4 linked regions of the Arabidopsis thaliana genome follow. The protein of the gene in region 1 purifies or fractionates together with the protein of each later gene. This does not show direct contact. Each region holds a gene or a part of one and is shown on either strand. Other genes may lie near its edges. The genes, in order: AT4G08520, AT4G34450, AT2G34840 and AT1G30630.

Region 1 (5,735 bases):
ATTGTTGTTAACTGAAGAGCAGATGAAGCTTTTTCTGAATAATGATGAAAAAATCGAAGAGGATGTCTTGGAATTTTGAGACTATCCACAACCATTAGGACCAACAACATGCGTTTGTTGAACAAAACTAATGTCCACACAAAATATGAATCTCCCGAGCAGAGTAAGAATAGCCCATTTTTCATTGTTTTGTTTCCTCTCTATAAATAATTAGTTATCACTTAATTAATATTAATATCAGTTTTTTGGTCCTTCAAGATTTTAAGGAAGAGAGGCTAAAATGGTGTGGTGAAAGGAAGGTATGTAAATCAGACACTATGGGTCTTGTTTTAGTTATTAAGGCAATGGTCTTGTTTTAGTAACTAATCTTACTCCTAATACACATGATTATATGGTGGATATTTTAACTTTTGAGCGGAATAAGTTAGAGTCCAAATTAGCAATTGTCCAAAGAGTTCTCAATGGAGAAATAAACATCAGTCCCGATCTTGATGTGGTCTTGGAAAAGAATGGTTTTTAAAAATATGGCAAGACAGTGAACTCATCAAGAAGCTATGACTACGTCCCAGAGGATCTTATCTCGATGATTAGAGATCCTTCAAAATAGATGCATTAAAGGCATAATTAGATTACGTGAATAAAAGACTGGGTACTATCAACTCTGAAAGCCAGAAGCACTCTGGATCAATAAGCTAGATGATTTTGATAAAGCACTTGAGGTATGAATGAATTAGTTTTATGATTCTCCACAACAAATTATGTGTCTGTTATTTGAACTGAACTTTCTTAATATTGCAAGGACTCTGGTCAAGACTCTCAAGTTAATGGCGATTATAATATTTAGTGCATAGATGGCACAAATATAATTTCCATTCTTATCTATAAATGATTATGGTATAACTGTCTACCAAAGGTTCCAAAATTAGTATTTAACAAAAAAAATATTTCAAAAGTGAAATAAAATGTATACCTCCCATCTCTTAGATCTAATTTTAATTTTATTACATATTTTAAGGATATGCCAATTTTTCGATTTTTTGTTAGAGACAAGTTATCATATTTCAACATTTTTAGGTATCTTTATATAAAGATTTATTCTATATTTGGAAAATTATTCTTTCCTAAATTATTATTAAAATCTGAAACTTAAAAAATATATAAAAAATTAAATATATGAACTAAAATTTATACAATCTTTTTCATATAAATTGTGCTTTTTGTACCTCGGACCATAGTAGTTCTCTTTGCATCTGAAGTGTTGTTGTAACCGATCCGAAGATGGTAAACATTTACAAGGAAAATATTATTTTGGAGTGGGCCTTTATACAAAACTATCAAATCCTACCTAGCTCGGGGATCATAATTTTTGTTGAAAATGTTTGCATGGCGATTTGAAGCAGTAATATGAAATAGATTTTGATTGTTATCATCAACTTCCAATAGCAGGTCGAGACACGAACGAAGTAGAATTTCTACAAACTCAATGTATCCGGACTTTACGACCTCAACAAGTAAATTTTGAGGTGAAGAAGTAATTTATAATTTATCTTCGAAAATATTTACAATCCTTCTCATATAAATATACAAGTTTTTCCATTTTTTTGTTAGAGACAACTTTTCACATAATTATCTTTATTTTTTGAAATTTTAGTATTATATTGTTTTTCCAACTACACATTAATTACAAAATACTCCTTGATGAATTTATCTGAGAAATTTACCATATTTTGTTATATTATTATTAATTTAATTTTGCGTAAACGGGAGACTATACAATTAAGTTTGAGTTTCCTGATTTTCAAATGTTGGGTTTGTTTGTATAATTTCAAATGTTGGGGTTTAATTTGCAATATTCCCGAATCCCGACTACTCATTCTAAAATATAATCAGACCTTCGCGTCTTCTTTAACAGTTAGTTCCATACCATCGTCGCAAGCTCTCATCTTCTTCAGCTCAAAAAGCCATCTCAAAGGTAAAAGTTTCTCGAGTTTGTCTTCTCCGTTTGATTGCTTCTTCATCCCTATCGAGATTCGTATGATTTACGTTCTAATTTCGTCAGATCGATGAAAGATCCATTGACATTCTCTAGAGATCTGAATAAAATATTTTCTGTTATCGTTCACAGTTTTGATGAGATTTTTGTTTGGCTCTGTAGATTTCTAAGTTTTTAATTGTTTTCAATTTGCCATTATGATCTATCATTCTCATAGCTTCAGTAAGAGATCTGATCGTTAAGTTTTTCAGATTGAGAATCGAAATTTGACTTAGAGGTTATGTAGAAACCTTAATTTTAAGATCTTCCCTGATGATCTAGTACTCTCTTCTTAGATCTTGGTGTATTCAGTGCTAGTTTTGTTTCTTAGACTAAATGTATTAGATAGATTTCTCAGTTTTTGTTCTGTGTGTTTGTAGTGTGTGGTTATAACACTTAATTTATCACTATTTTCAGGTATATTTTGAATCAAAAACAATGGCAGGGACTAATGTAAGTACATCTCTAAGCTCATTGTATACTGTTAAGAATCATTATATTGTTGTCTGTAAATAGTCTTGTGATGCTTTATGGTTTGTTACACTTATGAGATTCTTTGCATTGTGGTGTAATATAATCTCCTCTGTTTGTGTATAAGATCACTATGTTAAGATTGATTTTTTCTTGTTTTGTTTGTTGAGTGGGTAAGTATGTTTTCAGAAGGTGTGACGAATCTTAGGTTCATGCCCCTATTGTTCTAAGATTGTTTGCATCTTTCAATCTGGAAGCATAATTAGGCTTTGTTACTGTCTAAGTAACATAAGTTCTGGTAGATTTTTGTAAACGTTCTTTTGCTGCTGAGAAAATTCCAATTGCTTATGAATCTGCTTTTGTGCAATATCATCATTTGTTTGTTGATGCAAAATAATTTGGATTCTATCTGTTGGAGCTGCCATTTGTCTGGTGTGTCATGTTTTTGTATGTCCTTTTGTTGGCCAGGTTGAATTTAACTAAAGCTTGTATTATCTTTTGTCCTAAGTGTTTTTAGCAAATTTATGTATTAGCATTTAGCACCATAGGTTTGATTGGCCTATCTGGTCAAGCCATAGATGATGAGTATTGAGTAGCTGATTTAGCTTTTTAGTTTGATTGGTGGCAACAAATACTCAAGAAACTTAGGCTTTGGACCCTGTGTAATTGTCCATATGATTGGTGATAGTTGGACTGGTGATCTTTATCTACTTTGCTGTTGTAGAAGTTCAAACTTACATGATCCATTTTAAGGATTCTCGCTTCTGCTTGTGCTTCTCTCTCTTAGTACTTACATGCTGACTATCTGGTCTACAATGAATAGGATTCTTGTCCTTTGGTAAAGAACATTCTTCTTCTAGACTCTGAAGGAAAGCGTGTGGCTGTCAAGTATTACTCCGATGATTGGGCAACTAATGCTTCCAAGTTAGCTTTTGAAAAATATGTCTTCTCGAAAACCTCCAAGACCAATGCTCGCACAGAAGGTAAGATCAAATTGAAACTTCAACACATGTACAGTATTTATATATGTAGTTCTCTGTTTGTTGTATCATAGGAGTATGAAAGCTTCAGATTATATTTTACTTGTTGGCTGTCTATTGGGTTTCCTGATTACATATGTGCATATTTCCTGTTTCAAACAACTTGTAGGTGTGTATAATTTTTTTTTTTTATGTTTACTTTTTGCAGCTGAGATCACACTGTTGGAGAGTAATATTGTTGTCTATAAGTTTGCCCAGGACCTGCATTTCTTTGTTACTGGAGGTGAAAATGAAAACGAGCTCGTCTTATCATCTGTTCTTCAAGGCTTTTTTGATGCTGTTGCGTTACTTCTGAGGTATTTAACCCACCTTAACAAATGACTATGTGCCTTTCTTGATCAGTGATATACGAAATTAAAGTTGAACATCCTTTCTCCTTACAGGAACAATGTTGAAAAGATGGAAGCCCTTGAAAACTTGGATCTCATCTTTTTGTGCCTTGATGAGATGGTTGATCAAGGGTATGCTACATATGCTTTCAAATACTATTCTACGATTTTTTTACTATGTTAAATTCGGAAATCTATCATTTTAGCCTTGCACAAGAGTTAAAAGATTACTGAGTTCGGAAATCTATTGCAACTCTTAAACATGGGTGTGTAGAGTTAAAAGATTGCTGAGTTTAGCTTGCTCTTCATATCTTAACAATTAGCTTTCTAATATGCTGATGGAGTTGAGCTAAATACGGACATAGTGAGATCTGGTACTTAGATACTATGAGAACTTATTGTTTGATCATTGATGAACAACTTCTGGCCGTGTGTTGAAGCGTTCTTGTTAAGTCTAGTGCAGAATATTTGCAACTAGCCTAAGGGGGGGTTATGGGATATGTAGCTTTGCCAATTCAGGAACAGACCTTACGTCCGTTAGTTGATAGCTGAAGACTTAAAAGACAGCTTAGAGAATTCATTAGGGGCATTTTGGATTTGTTGAGGGTTTTGGTTTGGGCATTGGTTGAGAGTGTAGAGACTTTTCTCGCTAATGAAGTCTCTCGAAAGTGTAATTCTTTAGTAACTAGATAAAGAAGTTTAACTGTTTTGAATCCCTATCACTGTGATACTCATCTTTGTATTGTCTTATGAAACTTGTTCAGGATGGTACTTGAAACAGACGCGAATGTTATTGCGGGGAAAGTAGCAATGCAAAGCGCAGAAGCAAGTGGTTCACTCTCTGAACAGGTGAGACGCAATATGACTACTACTAAACTACCTTCGAGCAAAGCGATAATCTTTATATCAATCATGCGGTTGACCATTTTTTGGATTTTGTATTGTAGACATTAACTCAAGCATTGGCAACAGCTCGGGAGCACCTTGCGAGAAGTCTTCTTACATAAATTTTCATCGTGGGAGCGAAATGATATATTCATAAGCCCTTGTAACCAACCATATCTGAAATGGTTACCCGTTCACTAGAAATCAACCCCTATTGACTTAACTATCTCATGACTTTGTTTTCTTATGGTTTTTTGGTGGAACTTAGATCTTTTATTCGCCTGTTCTTGCGGAACCATCTTTTTAAATGTGAGGATCAACATTGCACTAGTGATTGATTGCTTTACATATCTAAGACGGTTGATCTTAAGTGTTGCGATTTAAGATGGGAAATCTCTCATAAGCTAAGTCGTTCAGTGGCCCAATCAAAGTGGAAATAAAGAACGGTTTACCGTTTAGACGTCAATCCATCTGAAGAAAGCAGTTGACAGTGGTTCGAAATTGGTTAAGGAAAGACCAAAATCTGAGAGATGCAATCCGAATTTCTATAAAAAAAAACGCACATTGAGAATCGTATAAAGAATGTTTTACAATATGGTCTATCAACTTAGATCAATGCGGATGCAAGTTATAGAAAGTCCCGTAAAGTGCGAATGTCGTAATAGAAGCGGATATTCGATTTTTAAAAAAATAATATTTATTATTTGCTTCGATTTTTATGAATACTTTATTTTTCTATTTGTTTTGGTTTTAAATCTTACGGATATTCGGATTTTTTGAATCGAATTAAATTGAATATCGAATCGAAACTGATCGAACAAATATTTTGCCCGGCCCTACTTCTTATATGAAAAGTTTGTGCTACACCTTTTTTATAATTGGTTCTAGTAAAGTAATCTCCAATTTATATTTGCTCACAAATTTTTTGCCATATCTCTTAGTCTTTAGCTATCTTTTATTTTTTTGGGTCAAAATCTC
Region 2 (7,773 bases), about 11 Mb from region 1:
ATTATTGGTCTTATATAATTATGAGATTCTAAAAGTGTGATACGGTTAGGGTTAGGCGTATCCTTTTGTTACCGTTGTGATAAAATTTCCTTTTTGTTTCTGCTACTCAAATAAGAAAAGGAAACAATCAAAATTTCCTTTTTTCATTGAACAAACGTGTACTTATAAATACACCCCTTCTCTCTTCTTCCTTGAGAAAAGTCTCCATTCTCTCTTCTTCTTCCTGGAAACCTAAACCACGTAAGGATTTGCTCTGAATCTAAATATTGACGTGGAGAAGACGCGATCTTACTAATTCTCCATTCTCTGCTTCAACTTCACCGTAAGATTGAACAAACCTTTACTTATATATACCTCTTCTTTCTTGAGAAATCCAAATTCTCCATTCTCTCTTCTTCTTCCAAACCAAAACCTAATTCTCCATTCTCTGCTTCAACTTCACCGTAAGATTGATCGGTTGATAAAGCGGCTCTTTTTGGTGATTGATCTCTGTTGTGACTACATCTTAGGTCAATTCAGATTGCTTTCATATCAAGTCTCTCCTAATTTCACAAGATCAAAGATCCCGGCCATGGATTCAGTTGTCGACGGCGAAGGAGAACACAAACGACGACTAAGGATGCGAAAGTGGGAAAGAGGGATATAACGAAGACATGGACAATGAAAGCAACGAGCAGTATAGAACCAAATCAATGGATCATGATCTGTGTTTGGTACTAGGTGTTTCCTTGGCGTCGACGAGATCTTTTGAAAATCTTGTGTTTCGTCGATATCACAAGCAAAGGTATTTTCTTTTTTCCTTTTCTATTTTTAATGATTCATTTTTTACTAAATAAAAATTTATTTTTAGATTTTTTTATTAAGTGTTAAAATTTTCAATTTTGTGTAAATTAATTTAAATTTTTAACACTTGTTTTTGTTTTTATTAAAAACTGTTTTTAAACCTATATTTTTATACTACTATTAAAGTTTTAAGGTTTTTCTTATTAAATATTAAATTTTTAAATTTTGTGTAAACTAATTGGATACATCATCCAATCCCCTAAGAGGTGTTCTAGGTTCAATAGATGGTTTACACATCATTTAAATTTTTAACACTTGTTTTTTATATTTATTAAATAAATGTTTTTAAACCTAAATTTTTATACTACTATTAAAATTTGAAGTTTTTTTTTATTAAGTGTTGAATTTTTAAATTTTGTGTAAACTAATTGGATACATCATCCAAACCCCTAAGAGGTGTTCTAGGTTCAATATGGTTTACACATTATTTAAATTTTTAACACTTGTTTTTCTTATATCAAAAATATGTTTTAAACCTTTATTTTTATACTACTATTAAAGTTTTAAGTTTTTTTATTAAGTGTTAAATATTTAAATTTGTGTAAGCTAATTGGATACATCATCCAAACCCCTAAATAGTGTTCTAGTTTCAATATGGTTTACACATTATTTAAAGTTTTAACACTTGTTTTCCTTATATTAAAAAATGTTTTAAACCTATATTTTTCTATTACTATTAAGATCTTAAGTTTTTTTTTTAATTTTGTGTAAACTAATTGGATAAATCTTAACTCCTAAGAGGTTAGGTTCAATATGGTTTACATATAATTTAATTTTTCTTATATTAAAAAATGTTTCTATTTTTATTTTACTATTAAGATTTTAAATTTTTTTTTGTTAAGTGTAAAAAATTAAAATTTTGTGTAAACTAATTGAATATAACATTCAAACCTGTAAGAGGTGTTTATAGGTTCAATATGATTTATATATAATTTAAATAGTTTGCTATTTTGTTTAGAATCAAAATATTTTTAAATGACATGTTGTAATAATTGACCAAAAGAAATTAGTGTGTGATTTTGTTGAAATGCAGAGTACAAAGCCTTAATTTATACCAAGTTATGGTATCTATAACGTATATGAATACCAAAATTTTATTATTTTTAATTGGTGTTGTATTTTATAATTCGAAATAATTAGGGGAACGGGCAAAACCTCTCTGTTCTCTCGCTTATATTTTTTTTAGAGAGAAAGCAAATCAGTTTCAACGATCGGATATTTTCTGGTGTTAGCCGTCCTGACTTTTTGGGCTTTCTGTCCGATATCACCGGCTCTGGTAGCGGTGTTGGTTGGCTCTAGTCCGGCAGCGTCTTGTTCACATAACCGGTGGTTGCTGGCTCTTGGTTTCTCTCGTCGATGTAGATCGATTTTTAATCTGTGTTTTTTTATTTTCATGTTTTGTTTTTAATAATTCTCATCTGAGACATGTTGGTGATAGAGTGAATGCAATCTCGCTTTCTAATGCTTCTTATCCGATCTGTTCTTTTTTAAGTTTTGATTTACAGAAATTTTTGGAGAAATTTGAGAATGATGTTGAAGAAAAGAAGTGGATTCTGTTGTTAATTATCATAGCCTTAAGCTGTTGTATATTTAACATGAGCCTCGATTGCTTTTTATCGGTGAAAAAACAAAAAGATCCATGTTCTATGAGACTATCGACGGTGATTCTTTCACCGAAATCGGTGCTCAGACGGCGAAAATGAAGTCGGTTCGCTTTAGAGTACTCATCTGACACGTATATTAATATATCGACATGTGGTTTGGGATAGAGTCAAACTATAGTTTCTTCTTCTATGAAAGACTCTCTGTTGGCCTATTTGGTCCTAAATCGTTTCTGTAATCGCGGACTTTTCTTTAAGCTTTGACTATCTTGATTAATACAATATTTCTCTTGGGACAAAAAAAAAATAATCTTAGTATTTCTTTAATATTTTTTGTTTGGGTATGGGCTATTGGGCCGCTTCGAAAAGTTCACTTTCTCTATCGATCTCTCACAGTTTCTGAGTTCTCTGACTCAAAAACATATAGTAGAAGAAAACGATTAGAGATCTTCTTCTTTCTCCTGTTGCATCTGAAGATAAAGGAAACAGAAAGCGCGAGATCTGAGTGACGGAGTAATTTCAAAGGGAGGTTTTCGAGATCAGAAATGGCGCAACCCCTCGTGAAGAAAGACGATGATCACGACGATGAGTGTATGTGTTCTCTCTTAATCTCCTTATAATTTTCGAATCAGCTGGTTTTCTGCAAAATGTAGATCCAGATGTTAAGCTTCTAGATCTGTTATCATTCAACAGTCGTGATTGTGATTTGGTTGTGTAGATCTACAATCTCAAGTCCGATTTAGTTTTGTTTACCGCATTCGATCCCGGTGTGAATTGCTTTGCTTATTTCGATTTCTGATTTTTTGTTGGATCAGTGGAGTATTCTCCATTCATGGGAATTGAGAAAGGAGCGGTTCTTCAAGAGGCTAGAGTCTTTAATGACCCTCAGGTTGATCCTAGACGATGCTCCCAGGTCATTACGAAGCTTCTTTATTTGCTTAACCAAGGGGAGTCATTCACCAAGGTCAGTTAATTTTTTTGCTTATACTGATTCGATGTCATGCTTATGGAGAATTGAATTATTGTGTTCTTATCCTCTCGCGATGGTTGTTTGTTTCATATGCAGGTTGAAGCAACGGAAGTTTTCTTTTCAGTTACAAAGCTTTTTCAATCAAAAGACACGGGTTTGAGGAGAATGGTCTACTTGATCATTAAGGAGTTATCTCCATCATCTGATGAGGTCTGTAAATTTTACTCAATTTCAATACGAACATCGTCGCACTTATTGTAGGTATATTTTCTGATAAGTTGTTGGTTTTTTCGCCCATAGGTTATCATCGTAACAAGCTCTCTGATGAAGGATATGAATAGTAAAATTGATATGTATCGAGCAAATGCTATCCGTGTCCTCTGCCGGATAATAGACGGAACCCTTCTCACTCAGATTGAGCGATACTTGAAACAAGCCATTGTGGATAAGAATCCCGTTGTTTCAAGTGCAGCTTTAGTCAGTGGGCTTCACTTGCTCAAGGTACCTTTTACACACCAAAACTATTAGGTAGCTTCTTAATTGTAATGTTATGCTTATATTCGTATATTGCTGTTTTCAGACAAACCCAGAAATTGTTAAAAGATGGAGCAATGAAGTTCAAGAAGGTATTCAATCCAGATCAGCCCTTGTTCAGTTCCATGCCCTAGCTTTGCTCCATCAGGTTAGTTTGTTGCATTATTATCACCGAAGTCGATTGGTCTATGTTTCTACTCTTTGTTTAATTAAACAGCCACTGAGAAGAAGTATCTCGGAAAATGAGAGGTGTTACTATGTGTATTGGACTAGATTCATAAATAATAAGTTTTCTGTAGCAGCATCGTAGCTCTTTACTACGGCCTTTTCCAGCAATTTTAGTTTCTTGTGAGGTTTAATCTGTGTCTGGAGTCTGTCTCAGATACTGCTGATTCTAGCATATGTAACTAATTAGGTTGGTTAGGACAACCTATTTATGTGTCTAAGATGTACGAGTTACCAAATGATATGTATTGCTGCTGTTACGTTGATTTAAAATGACTCCCAACATGATACACTCTCAATCTTTGATCTAATAACTGTCAATCTTTGATCAACTTGATAATCTTTCATCATATTCAGATACGCCAAAATGATCGCTTGGCTGTTAGCAAATTGGTTGGTAGCTTGACCAGGGGATCTGTCCGCTCTCCCTTGGCTCAGTGTCTTTTGATACGTTACACCAGCCAGGTTATTCCTCTCTTCTGTTTGATCATTTGATAAGTGGCTGATTGTATATGTGTTATTTAGCTCTGGTTTCTAATATTCAGGTTATCCGTGACATGGCCAACCACGGTCAATCTGGAGAACGTCCGTTCTATGAATTTTTGGAGAGTTGCCTGCGCCATAAGGCAGAAATGGTGATCCTTGAGGCTGCCAGGGCAATTACTGAGCTTGATGGTGTGACAAGCCGAGAACTGACTCCAGCAATCACTGTTCTTCAGCTCTTTTTGAGTTCCCCCAGACCAGTGTTGAGATTTGCCGCTGTCCGGACTCTGAACAAGGTTTGCAATGCTTTCAACTGTTCTCTTTGTACATTGACACCGAAATGATGTTTTACTATTCTGGGTAGATTCATCATTACCTTTATCATGAGGATGAGGAGATATTTCACTGTATACTAAACACAAGTTTGAACCACAGGTTGCAATGACTCATCCTATGGCTGTCACCAACTGCAACATTGATATGGAGAGTTTAATCTCTGATCAAAATAGAAGCATTGCTACACTCGCAATAACCACACTATTGAAAACAGGGAACGAATCAAGTGTAGAACGTTTGATGAAGCAGATAACTAATTTTATGTCAGATATTGCTGATGAGTTCAAAATTGTGGTCGTGGACGCAATAAGATCGTTGTGTGTGAAATTCCCACTGAAATACAGATCCTTGTAAGTAAAGTTTTAGGGTTTGTTATTTGTAGTTTTGGTCTCGAGCATTTCTATTTTTTTGAATGATTAAATATGTTATGGTATCTTTTTAGCATTTGGCTTATGATTGATCTATCACCTTTTCATTTGTAGGATGACCTTCTTAAGCAACATTCTTAGGGAAGAAGGTGGATTTGAGTATAAAAGAGCAATAGTAGATTCTATTGTGACCATTATCAGAGATATTCCGGATGCAAAGGAAAGTGGACTGCTTCATCTATGTGAATTCATTGAAGATTGTGAATTCACATATCTTTCAACACAGGTAATTATTCCATCATCCATCTGGGGTTGCTATTAAAAACTTATGTGTTATTGAAATGTTTATTCTCGCACAGATCCTTCATTTTCTGGGAATTGAGGGGCCTAACACCTCAGATCCAAGCAAGTATATACGATATATATATAATCGTGTGCATCTAGAAAACGCCACTGTCCGGGCTGCTGCTGTTTCCACACTTGCAAAGTTTGGGTTTATGGTTGAATCCTTGAAGGTATAGTCATCATAACAACCATTATTTTTATTTTCCGTTTATCTTCTTTGACTGATGATAATGCTCGACAGCCCCGGATTACTGTTCTATTGAAGCGTTGCATCTATGACAGTGATGATGAGGTGCGTTCCTAGTCTTAGTCTAGAAAAGCATTGCTGTTTCTGTATGTCTGTTTGTTTTGAGTCGTTGCATCATCAAACATGCATGCATGTGTTTGCCTCTGTAAACATTTTCGGATGCATGCAATGCAAGTTGTTTGATGATTCCTTCCTTGCTCATGAGTCAGACATCTTTTTATCTTAAGGTCCGTGATAGGGCAACACTATATTTGAGTGTTCTTGGTGGTGATGGTACTGTTGACACTGATAAAGAGAGCAAGGATTTCCTATTTGGTTCCCTGGAGGTTCCTCTAGTCAACATGGAAACTAGTCTGAAGAATTATGTGAGTTAATCTATTTCTCGGTTTTCTCCTTTTCAATATTCTTAGGACATCAGTTATCTTATATCTGGGATTCCTGCAGGAGCCCTCTGAAGAAGCTTTTGATATCAACTCCGTACCTAAGGAAGTTAAATCTCAGCCCCTTGCAGAGAAGAAAGCCCAGGGTAAAAAGCCCACTGGTCTTGGTGCACCACCAGCTGCACCTGCTTCTGGTTTTGATGGCTATGAAAGACTTCTCTCATCCATTCCAGAGTTTGCCGCCTTTGGAAAACTTTTCAAGGTTAGGGGCTGATTTGTCTTCTGTGTTATTCTAATGTTAATGGCTTATCTTGTTTGCTTTAACTTGTACTTTCTTTTTCAGTCTTCTTTACCTGTGGAGCTAACTGAAGCAGAAACAGAATACGCTGTCAATGTTGTTAAGCATATCTTTGACAGTCATGTGGTGTTTCAGTACAACTGCACTAACACAATACCAGAGCAGTTGTTGGAGAGGGTACTGAACATTGGTGTAGAATATTAGTGTCAAGCATATCTTATCTTTCTTTCCTCATTTAATTAATTTGGCATGGGGTTGTAGGTCAATGTCATTGTAGATGCTTCAGAAGCTGAGGAATTCAGTGAAGTAACTTCAAAGGCCCTAAACTCACTTCCTTACGATTCACCCGGTCAAGCCTTTGTGGTTTTTGAGAAGCCAGCTGGGGTCCCTGCTGTTGGAAAGTTCTCCAACACATTGACTTTCGTTGTTAAGGAGGTACATGTTAAATAGGCTATTCACTTCCATCTTTTTATTTACTTACACTGAAAATGACCCCATAATACTTTGTGGAGAACTCTTATAAACAACGACTCATTTGGAGAGGAGTACCAGAACGACTCAAATTAATCACAGAAAACAAAGAAAACTCTCTAACTACATTGTTTGTGCTTTTATGAATGTGTTAAAACAGGTTGACCCAAGCACAGGTGAAGCAGAAGATGATGGAGTAGAAGATGAGTACCAGCTAGAGGATCTTGAGGTTGTAGCTGGAGATTACATGGTGAAAGTGGGTGTCTCCAATTTCAGGAATGCGTGGGAAAGCATGGATGAAGAAGATGAGCGTGTAGACGAATATGGCCTTGGCCAAAGAGAGAGTTTGGGAGAAGCTGTAAAGGCTGTCATGGATCTTCTTGGCATGCAGACTTGTGAGGTTAGTCTCTTCCACTTTTTTCTCATACTCTACTGAGACTTGAGGGCTAAAATTATTGTTGATAAAGTCTTTTTTGAGTATATGACCATTTGTTGTGTTCCTGAAATTGAAACTGACACTGGATAAATAACAGGGGACGGAGACAATTCCGCTCAATGCAAGGTCACACACGTGTCTATTGTCAGGTGTGTACATAGGCAACGTGAAAGTGTTAGTGAGGGCACAGTTTGGAATGGACAGCTCAAAGGACATTGCAATGAAGCTGACAGTTA
Region 3 (4,389 bases), on another chromosome or scaffold:
ACAGCTAAGCACACCAATCTTCAAGAAAGTTTAAAGATGGCATGGAGATGGCAAAAGCTTCATCGCAGTGGCTATGGATCTTCTTCCTTGGTTTCTGCATACTGACCATTATGCATTAGGTATGTGAGCATTGCCCTTCAAGGACTCCTTCATTAGAGTCTTGATTCTAGATGGTAGTGAAGGTAGTAGAAGAAGATGGATTTATTCTTAGTAGAATAGTATTCATCTTATCCATATATAGAGATTATATATGAGATTATTGATTAATAAAATATCATCCATGTCAATCACCTATTTTATTGTGATTGAGGTTTATCAAAATCCTAACGGAAGACATATGTCGCTTCTTTGTGTAAAAAGTGAAAATCATTGGTTGGAAAAAAATTGAAGTATTTCCAAGTGAGAAGCTTTTGTTTGTTTTGGTATTTCTAGTTTGGATTCAAACGATCGGTTGAATTCACTCAAGGTTTCGGGTTGAGTTACACGATCTGGATTGGTTAGGTTCGAAATTAAGTAAATGACAAACGGAATTGAGAGTGCGAGAGGTGGAATTTGATATTTTCAAGTAATGAAATGTAACTTAACATATCTAATGGCAAAAGCTGGTTCATATACTGGTTTCGAAAAGACAAGACAGTATGGTTGTTCTGGTAGATTTACCAACCCGGTGAAAATATGCGGTAAAGCAAACAAATCCTGCACGTCTTTTAGCTTGAACCATGGAAGAGTCTTTAGGCGACCAATTGAACTGCTCTCTCGAAGTTATCTTCAGCTGATGATACACGCTTCACAAGTATGTGTTCCGGGTGTGAAAGTTTTAGCTGGCTGCAAGAAGGATAGGTGATACAAATGAAGTTAACAAACGAGACCGACCAATGTTTTTATTAGGATTAAGGACACAGTTACTCTCGATTAACTTTTCAGTGAGTTCTACTGATTGATTGGGCAAATGATGCCTAATATAAGAGTAGATAATGAAAATTTACCTTAGGTGGCGTGAAGAAGACTTCCCGACATGAAGACTGCACACAACAAGATTTGCAAGAGTTTCTGGATCTTTAGCATCCTGCAATCACCACAAATTAGTATAAACACACTTCCCCATATACAGAAAAGCCAAGAGACAAGTGCAGTGTGAGAAATTTAGAGAGGTCCCTAGTTTCATATTGTTCCCGAGAATGCTAATGTACAGAGCAAATTTAAGGTACACAAGCCTAATTTGTAGTTACCTTGTTGAGTGCTTCAAGAAGTAGTGTTTCAGCTTCATCGAAGTTACCCATTTGCATACAGCAAACAGCTTTGCCATTCAAGATCAAGCATGTCATTGGGTACTTCTCAGAAAAATCCTCGAAAATGAGATAAGCTTCCTGTATCTTCGAACCGCCCTGAAATCAAATAACGCCTTAGCATAAGAAGCAAATACACAACTCTTTGAAAGAATAAGCCAGAACACATTGAATATTTCGCATTATACCACTGCCAGGTTCAACCAAGCGCTAGCAAGTTGAGTGAGAGTGTGGTCTTCATCAATCTGTTGCATCACTCTAAGCTGCTTCTCAGCATACTCTGCTCTATGCATCTTAATGAATATCTGAACATTCAAGGCATACCTAGAAAAACAATAGCAATGAGCCATCTAAGAACATGTTTTAAAACACAGTATAAATACTCAATCCACCAAATAAAAATCGAAAAAATCTTACAAATCCATAGTTCCTCCAGCATGAGTATGCTTCAAAGTTTCATTATAATCTTCTTCATGCATGAAAATAATACCAGCAATCAATCGTAATGTATCATTGTTTCCTATTGTTGAATCTGCTAACCATTCCTTCAAGCTTGAAATTGTTGATTCCTGAACCAATAACAATCGTTCCATATAAGCATTTGAATCTCTTTACAACATGTTTCGTGAACACGAATCAAAGCCGTAATTACCTTATTTTGAGGAGTCGATAGATACATAGCGAGGAGTTTGACTGCTTGTAGTGGAGTAGCGGCTGATTCATCGATCTCACTGATAACAAGCTTATACACACCAAAATTTGGAAGAACAGATCAAAACAAAACGTAATCGAATCTAAAGAAGAAGACATTATCGATATGATTAGAGAAGTAACCTGATAGCTACCGAGGGCGATGTAAGATCGGAAGACGAGACAGTCACGTTCCACGGCGTTTTCCGGCGAGAGGTTGGCGATCTCGCTGTTGTTGATCGCCGTTTGATAAGCTCCCAAATAGAAATTGTTTCTGAGGTTGAAGAGGTGATCTGGTCCTGCTCCCATGGCTGACATTGCTTCTTCTTCTTCTTCTTCTTCTTCTTCTTCTTCTTCTTCTTCTTCTTCTTCTTCTTCTTCTTCTTCTTCTTCTTCTTCTAGATTTCACAGCTTCGCGTCTAATTCCAAAATCCAAACGAAAGTAAACGGGTTAATAACATAATAACCCCTTAAGTTATAAACTGAATGCATAATAATCCCAGTTCTTTTTGAACTGTTCAAGTAACATCACTAATTTGATTTGGGCCTTGTGCGGCAAAATAACGAATCAGGTTCTTTGTTTGACTCCTGGGCTTTATATCTAGTTGTGTGTTGTGAGCTTTTGGTCAGTCTATGTTTTAAAATCAGAAACGTGAACAAGTTTTTTTTATATATTAAGCATATCACACACTACTCGAAATAGTATTAGACGACAGACATGGTTGAATTAGTGTACTAGATGTCTACATTTGGTAGTGTTCAAAAAAAAAAAAGATGTCAACATTTGGTTGAACGAGCTATTCTTAATTAAAAGAAAATCAATAAATTCATATTTGTTATTATCAGAATGTGTTAGGTTAGTTTTATCGGTCTAGATGATTTTGTATTACGGTGATGTTAATCGGTTGAATAGTCATTGTATATATACTTGTACAAAATACATTTACGGAAATTTAATCAGAAAATATCTTCTTCTTCATCTGTAACAAACTTTCTTATCTCTCGATCGTAATATGGTATTAGAGCCATCAAAGCTCAAATTTCTTCATAAATCATCTCATGTCGATCTAAGAAGCAACATGTTATTTCTAGATACTGAGCATTAGCTCTTGCTACTTGTGAGTTGGTTTGGTTGCATACATTGCTCGTATCTTAAACGGATACTACTTCGATTCTTATCTTGTTTTCAGACAGTACAGATGTTATCTATATTGCAATCAATTATATCTTCCATGAGAGCACGAAATATATTGAGATTGACTGCCATACCGTGCGTGACAAGTTGGATGATGGTGAGCTTAAACTGCTTCATGTTCCCACGGATGATCAAATAGCTGATATTTTGCTAAACATTTGTTCTCACATCAGTTTGAACATCTAAAGTCCAAGATGAGCATTCTCAACATTTTCGAATCCTCATATTGAGGGGTCATATCAGAGAGTGTTGATTTAATTTATCGGTTTAATTGATTTTGTATTACGCGGGTTATATTAACCGGTTGTATTGTCATCGTATATATACTTGTACAAAATACATTTACAGAAATTTAAGGGGAAAATATCTTCTTCTTCATCTGTAACAAACTTTCTCATCTCTCAATCGTAATAATTATATATAGGATATAGTTAAATAAACATAGTTCAAATTTAAATCATGTTATAATATACATATAAGAGTATGACTGTTGTTTTTGTATGAACTTGAGGAACACTTAAAGGGCATGGTCGATTTTACGTAAAGTCAATATTCATTTCACATGTTCAAAGAAGTCCTCGTGCTACACAACCCAATTAATAACATAAATCAATACTATAGTTTATCAAAAAATATCAACCTCTAAAGTCTAAATGTTCTATCAATTTGTGTACTTGTGATTCGTGCAATTCTCTGTGTAATGGGTTTAGGCTCGCTTTTAGCTGAATTAGAATAATTAATGAGTTATGGTTATCAGACATTAATTACATGCACCTTTTAAATGTAAAATGCATCTTCTTGGAATAAGCTCCTCTAGTTTGGTTCTTACTTTATGCAAATTTTGTTTTAATGAATCTCTTTTCTCAAGTAATCTATAATAAGTTTACTATTTGTAATCCCTAATAATCCAAAGGCCTTCTCACTTCTAAAAGTTATCATCATATGCATCTTTTAAATAGCATTGATGTGTCTAATCATACGTTACCAATCTAAACACACATATTCCGTGGTTAATCAGATTTATCTTTCTTTGTCAATTTAAATTCTTATATTGTTTTAAATATATCTGACTGGATAACAGATATTAAATATTACTATTTTTATAGAATCCGTTCATCAACATGCGTCACCGTAGAACGAGGGATGCATGACTTATTTTGTTTTAATTTTTGCACCGTATGGTCTAATTATTGTAGTAAACAATATATAAGTTCATGC
Region 4 (4,515 bases), on another chromosome or scaffold:
AGTGCATTACCTGCCCTCGTCGAAGCATCTCGGATTTCTTTAACTTTTTCATTGCATATACGCTTCCAGTAGATTTTTCTTTACAAATTCTCACCTGGACAGAAATGAAATAATATTAAATCAATACACCAAGTAAAATCACTAACAGAAGCTTTGGTTCATAGAAAAAGAATAATAGCTAGTTATCAGTACTTCGGTAGCCAGTAAGAGAGCTAAAAAAGAAGCAACATCAAATTTTATATGTAAAGATGAGACAAGATATTAGCTAAGCTTACAAAAAGGAAGTGAAAAATAAGAGAGGCAACCACAAAGAACACATAAAGAGATATACCTCACCGAAAGCACCCCGGCCAATGATGCTAAGCAGTTCAAAGTCATCAACCCCCATTTTCTGTCTTTGTAGACGCATATACTCCATTTCCTTTTTCTCAAAGTTCTTTAATATATCCATCTTGTCTTCAACAGTAACATCAGCATCAGCTAGGTTTTGTTCCAAGATGCTCCGACTGTATTCAAGAGCGAGCTGATATCAGAAGGTTCAATCTAAACCAGTAGCAGATTAATTCCTAAATCAGACCCAACCATCAGTACTAGAAAATAAGACTACTCTGAAGTTCCATTTGTAACAACTAAAGCACAAGAAGTAAATATTGGCATCACAAGAAGAATCCCGAGAACGTACCGCTCTTTTCTTTCCTGGAGACTCTTCTTCTGAATTTTATAATGATTCTCGATATATTGCTTCGCTGCAGCAACTTTCTGTTTAGTAGCATTAGATGGTGCATCATTCATAGGAGGTCTCCCAAGATTCTTCACATTTCCCTCTTGTCCCTTTTTAGTAGGGCTTGATTTATCCGGTTTCTGCTGCCGTATCTGGAACCAGCTCCTTGTAGGCTCCGTAGCCATTTCAATCCAATCTAATGCAAATCACTTCATAAAACCTGCAGAAAATCAAAACAAAATTCCAAAACCCAAATGCTTCAAAACTAAATCAAATTGATGACAAATTCTTGTCTAACAACGCTGGTCAACACCTAAAATCTCACCGTAAATTCCGGAAACAATATTAAAACTTTCACTTCCAAGTTAATTCCACACGAATCGATTTTAATCACTCTTGACATAGAGATACATATACATCTAGTTCTGGATTGTGGATTGCACGCATGCATTCGAATCAAAACTTGCTTATAATCAAATAGTTACAAACTCCAATTCCAAACAAGATACGCACAAACACCATGCGAGATTGAAGAAGAAGAAAAACGAAAAGTCAAACTATTCACAAAGAAAAAGTAAAACTCGATCGGGGAAGATGACAAATTTCGCGAAAGGATCAAAGAAACTTACATCAACAAAACAACAAATCAGAGAGATTTTGATTTTAGCTCTCGCTTCGAATTCGAACTGTTGCTTACACGCATTCACTTAAAACGGAATTTTTTTAATTAAAAGATCTCAAAAGGGAGAGCAAAAACGGATTACGAACTAATAACGTTTTTTGGGCAAAGCGTATTTTATCTTGAAGCAGTAAACGCCGTTTAAGTTACAGTCACGATGACTCGGTGGCTGATTAAAACCAATACTGGTAAACCGGCTTTTAACTATTCCCGGGTCATTTATTGGGGAAGCTAAATGACACGTGTCAGTAAATTGTTGGATTTGTTTGTCGACATAACGTGACAGCACGATTGAACGGAGTGGTTTGCTAACGTCATTAGAACAACTCCCGCGCGAATTGGATAAAAACGCGTTTTATTGGTAAGACAAGATTGTCACCGTCCGTATGTAGGAGACGTGTAAAGAGAAGCAGAGTGTCGAACTAATTGGGTCATCGAAAAGCCCATTGGGCCTAAAATAGATAACAATGAGTGTCAATTGTAACATTCAAAATGTATGGGGCTTTATGTACATCTTAAGGCGTCATATTTTTTTGGTTTTGATTATTCACACTTCAGTTTTCTTTATTTTGGAGTTAGACACGGATCTGTGAGATCTAGAAGAAGAAGAAGAAGAAGAAGCTAAGACAATGGCATCCATGGCAGGACCAGATCATCTCTTCAATTTGAGAAACCATTTCTACTTGGGTGCTTATCAAGCTGCGATCAACAACAGCGAGATCCCTAATCTTTCGCAGGAAGATATCGTCGAGCGAGACTGTCTCGTCCATCGCGCTTACATCGCTCTCGGAAGTTACCAGGTTTTGCTTCCGTCTCGTGTTTTTCGATTTGGATTTCAATTTGTTTTGATCATTTGCTGATTTACGTTTTTCAAATTTCGTCTTCGTAGCTTGTCATCAGTGAGATCGATGAAGCCGCTGCTACTCCTCTACAGGCAGTGAAACTCCTTGCTATGTATCTATCGAGTCCTGAAAACAAGGTAATTCAAGAGATTTTGAGATGTTTCAATTCATCTTCTGTAACGTTTGCTTAGCGGAATTTCAGATAACTTTAGTAGAATTCTAGGATTCTTTTGATGATTTAGCTTCAGAGATCCGGAATTGAATATATCTTGATCTTATTTTAGTGATCTGCATTGTTGAATACGTAGTTGTTTCTGTGATTTTGGTTAGGAATCAACCATTTCGAGCTTGAGGGAATGGTTGGCAGATCCAACTGTAGGAAACAATGCTATTATCAGGTTGATTGCTGGTACTATATTCATGCATGAGGAAGACTATAATGAGGCTCTGAAGCACACTCATTCTGGAGGAACCATGGATCTGTGAGCTTTTCGATTTGTTTTGTCTTGTCACAGCGATCTCTTTTCGTTTACTCGATAAATGATTGTTGTTTCTGCATATTTTAGGCATGCTTTGAATGTCCAGATATTCATAAAGATGCACAGATCAGATTTTGCGGAGAAACAACTGAGAGTGATGCAACAGATTGATGAAGACCACACACTCACTCAGCTCGCGAGCGCGTGGTTGAATCTGGCAGTAGTATGATATGAATATCCATTTCTTTTTTCCATATAGTGTAGAGAAGTTTGTTAATGTGTTTCTTAATATGAAATTGTTCTTTATGATCTCAGGGTGGTTCCAAGATACAGGAAGCTTATCTAATCTTCCAGGATTTCTCTGAGAAGTACCCAATGACAAGCTTGATCTTGAACGGCAAAGCAGTTTGCTGCATGCATATGGGTAATTTTGAAGAAGCTGAGACTCTACTACTTGAAGCACTCAACAAGGTGAGTGATGAACCTACTCTTTCTTTCCTTAAATCTGTATCGACACAACCCATTCTCAATATCATGTCATCGGAAATGCTCACTCGATTTAAATCTATGAGGATACTTGAAAACTCCTTACACCAAATCTAAACTTTTCAACTATTCCGTTTATTATAAAATGGACAAGTTTGAAATCATAGATGTTTATTCTCATTGCAGGATGCTAAAGACCCAGAAACTCTTGCAAACCTCGTTGTATGCAGTCTTCACGTCGGGAAATCATCTTCTCGCTACCTAAAGTATAAATATTCATGACCTTTTGCATTTTCTGCATAACAACAAGTGCATCAGTAAGCTGACTTATTCCTCCATTTCCAATCCTTTTGCAGCCAGCTGAAACTTTCACATCCAGAACACGTCCTTGTGAAGCGAGCAGCATCAGCTGAAGATAACTTCGAGAGAGCACTTCAATCTTTCGCCTGAAGTACCTCAAAGTCCATGGAATCAATTTGCCTTATGATCTACCAGAAGAACATCATATTATTACCGACCCTATCTTGAAATTATCATAGATAAACAGTTTTTTCCATTGGATATGTTGCATTTTACTTTGATTTCTCACTGAAGCTTTTGTTTTCATTGAGTTTCGAATCCAACAGAACTACAGATCTTGTTCCTTGAAATCCAGAATCTCCATAACTGATGAGACAAAAGGCAGACTTTTGAAAACGAAACATTCGCTAATGTATGCAACACGGAGCTTAGATCTAAATTCCGCTTTACAAATTAAAAGCCAGGAATGCTATATATTATTAAGACTAATCAATAAATATTGTGAGAGGTACATATACTAATGAATGGCTGCTTCCTAAAAGAACCTAAAGCCATTACAAAATGAATATCAATCAAAAATCTCGTCATGTGATATCATTTTTTCATAATATGGATAATATATCTTGTGTTATATTTATATATAAACCATCATCATCTCCTACGCTTCTCTCCTCAATACCATCTGGAATCAAAATCTCCGTCCATCACCAAAGGAATGAACAAAGTCAGTAAACCGAGACCGATGAGGTTGTTAAGCCATAGCCATTACGGTGCAGCTTCTGCCATCTCCATGCAGTCTCAAGACTCTCTTTGAGATTAGTGTGCTTAGCTGTCCAGTTAAGTTCCTTCCTAATCTTGCTTGGATCACTGTAAACCTCAGCGTAATCACCTGCACGTCTAGGCAAATAGTCGATCTTGATCTCAACACCAGTTGCTTTCTTGCACGCCTCAACAAACTCTTTCACCGAGCTACCTACTCCACCCATACACAACAAAAACAGTCTTTAA

Evidence for each region.
Region 2: the proteins of AT4G08520 (region 1) and AT4G34450 fractionate together in Arabidopsis thaliana (co-fractionation; one large-scale study listed by BioGRID). This does not show direct contact.
Region 3: the proteins of AT4G08520 (region 1) and AT2G34840 fractionate together in Arabidopsis thaliana (co-fractionation; one large-scale study listed by BioGRID). This does not show direct contact.
Region 4: the proteins of AT4G08520 (region 1) and AT1G30630 fractionate together in Arabidopsis thaliana (co-fractionation; one large-scale study listed by BioGRID). This does not show direct contact.

The regions. Positions count from the first base shown.
Region 1 is NC_003075.7:5,415,417-5,421,151, forward strand, and holds AT4G08520 (SNARE-like superfamily protein), read left to right. Parts: upstream 1-1,792; 5' UTR 1,793-1,972; intron 1,973-2,449; 5' UTR 2,450-2,470; coding exon 2,471-2,485; intron 2,486-3,326; coding exon 3,327-3,486; intron 3,487-3,691; coding exon 3,692-3,839; intron 3,840-3,926; coding exon 3,927-4,004; intron 4,005-4,636; coding exon 4,637-4,721; intron 4,722-4,819; coding exon 4,820-4,879; 3' UTR 4,880-5,223; downstream 5,224-5,735. UniProt on the Arabidopsis thaliana protein: The coatomer is a cytosolic protein complex that binds to dilysine motifs and reversibly associates with Golgi non-clathrin-coated vesicles, which further mediate biosynthetic protein transport from the ER, via the Golgi up to the trans Golgi network.
Region 2 is NC_003075.7:16,468,967-16,476,739, forward strand, and holds the start of AT4G34450 (coatomer gamma-2 subunit, putative / gamma-2 coat protein, putative / gamma-2 COP), read left to right. Parts: upstream 1-1,769; 5' UTR 1,770-2,989; coding exon 2,990-3,035; intron 3,036-3,259; coding exon 3,260-3,408; intron 3,409-3,510; coding exon 3,511-3,624; intron 3,625-3,714; coding exon 3,715-3,915; intron 3,916-3,994; coding exon 3,995-4,096; intron 4,097-4,530; coding exon 4,531-4,638; intron 4,639-4,718; coding exon 4,719-4,952; intron 4,953-5,091; coding exon 5,092-5,342; intron 5,343-5,474; coding exon 5,475-5,646; intron 5,647-5,719; coding exon 5,720-5,875; intron 5,876-5,946; coding exon 5,947-5,997; intron 5,998-6,179; coding exon 6,180-6,317; intron 6,318-6,396; coding exon 6,397-6,594; intron 6,595-6,675; coding exon 6,676-6,807; intron 6,808-6,891; coding exon 6,892-7,065; intron 7,066-7,261; coding exon 7,262-7,501; intron 7,502-7,634; coding exon 7,635-7,773. UniProt on the Arabidopsis thaliana protein: The coatomer is a cytosolic protein complex that binds to dilysine motifs and reversibly associates with Golgi non-clathrin-coated vesicles, which further mediate biosynthetic protein transport from the ER, via the Golgi up to the trans Golgi network.
Region 3 is NC_003071.7:14,700,508-14,704,896, reverse strand, and holds AT2G34840 (Coatomer epsilon subunit), read right to left. Parts: upstream 2,410-4,389; 5' UTR 2,295-2,409; coding exon 2,121-2,294; exon of another isoform or gene 2,029-2,120; coding exon 1,939-2,028; intron 1,856-1,938; coding exon 1,704-1,855; intron 1,611-1,703; coding exon 1,475-1,610; intron 1,386-1,474; coding exon 1,230-1,385; intron 1,067-1,229; coding exon 987-1,066; intron 826-986; coding exon 732-825; 3' UTR 526-731; downstream 1-525. Other genes in the region: MEE25 (NAD(P)-binding Rossmann-fold superfamily protein), read left to right, coding at 1-105. UniProt on the Arabidopsis thaliana protein: The coatomer is a cytosolic protein complex that binds to dilysine motifs and reversibly associates with Golgi non-clathrin-coated vesicles, which further mediate biosynthetic protein transport from the ER, via the Golgi up to the trans Golgi network.
Region 4 is NC_003070.9:10,857,688-10,862,202, reverse strand, and holds AT1G30630 (Coatomer epsilon subunit), read left to right. Parts: upstream 1-1,880; 5' UTR 1,881-2,029; coding exon 2,030-2,200; intron 2,201-2,289; coding exon 2,290-2,379; intron 2,380-2,572; coding exon 2,573-2,724; intron 2,725-2,808; coding exon 2,809-2,944; intron 2,945-3,036; coding exon 3,037-3,192; intron 3,193-3,393; coding exon 3,394-3,473; intron 3,474-3,563; coding exon 3,564-3,657; 3' UTR 3,658-3,971; downstream 3,972-4,515. Other genes in the region: AT1G30640 (Protein kinase family protein), read right to left, coding at 11-94, 332-506, 683-906; MUR4 (NAD(P)-binding Rossmann-fold superfamily protein), read right to left, coding at 4,233-4,480. UniProt on the Arabidopsis thaliana protein: The coatomer is a cytosolic protein complex that binds to dilysine motifs and reversibly associates with Golgi non-clathrin-coated vesicles, which further mediate biosynthetic protein transport from the ER, via the Golgi up to the trans Golgi network.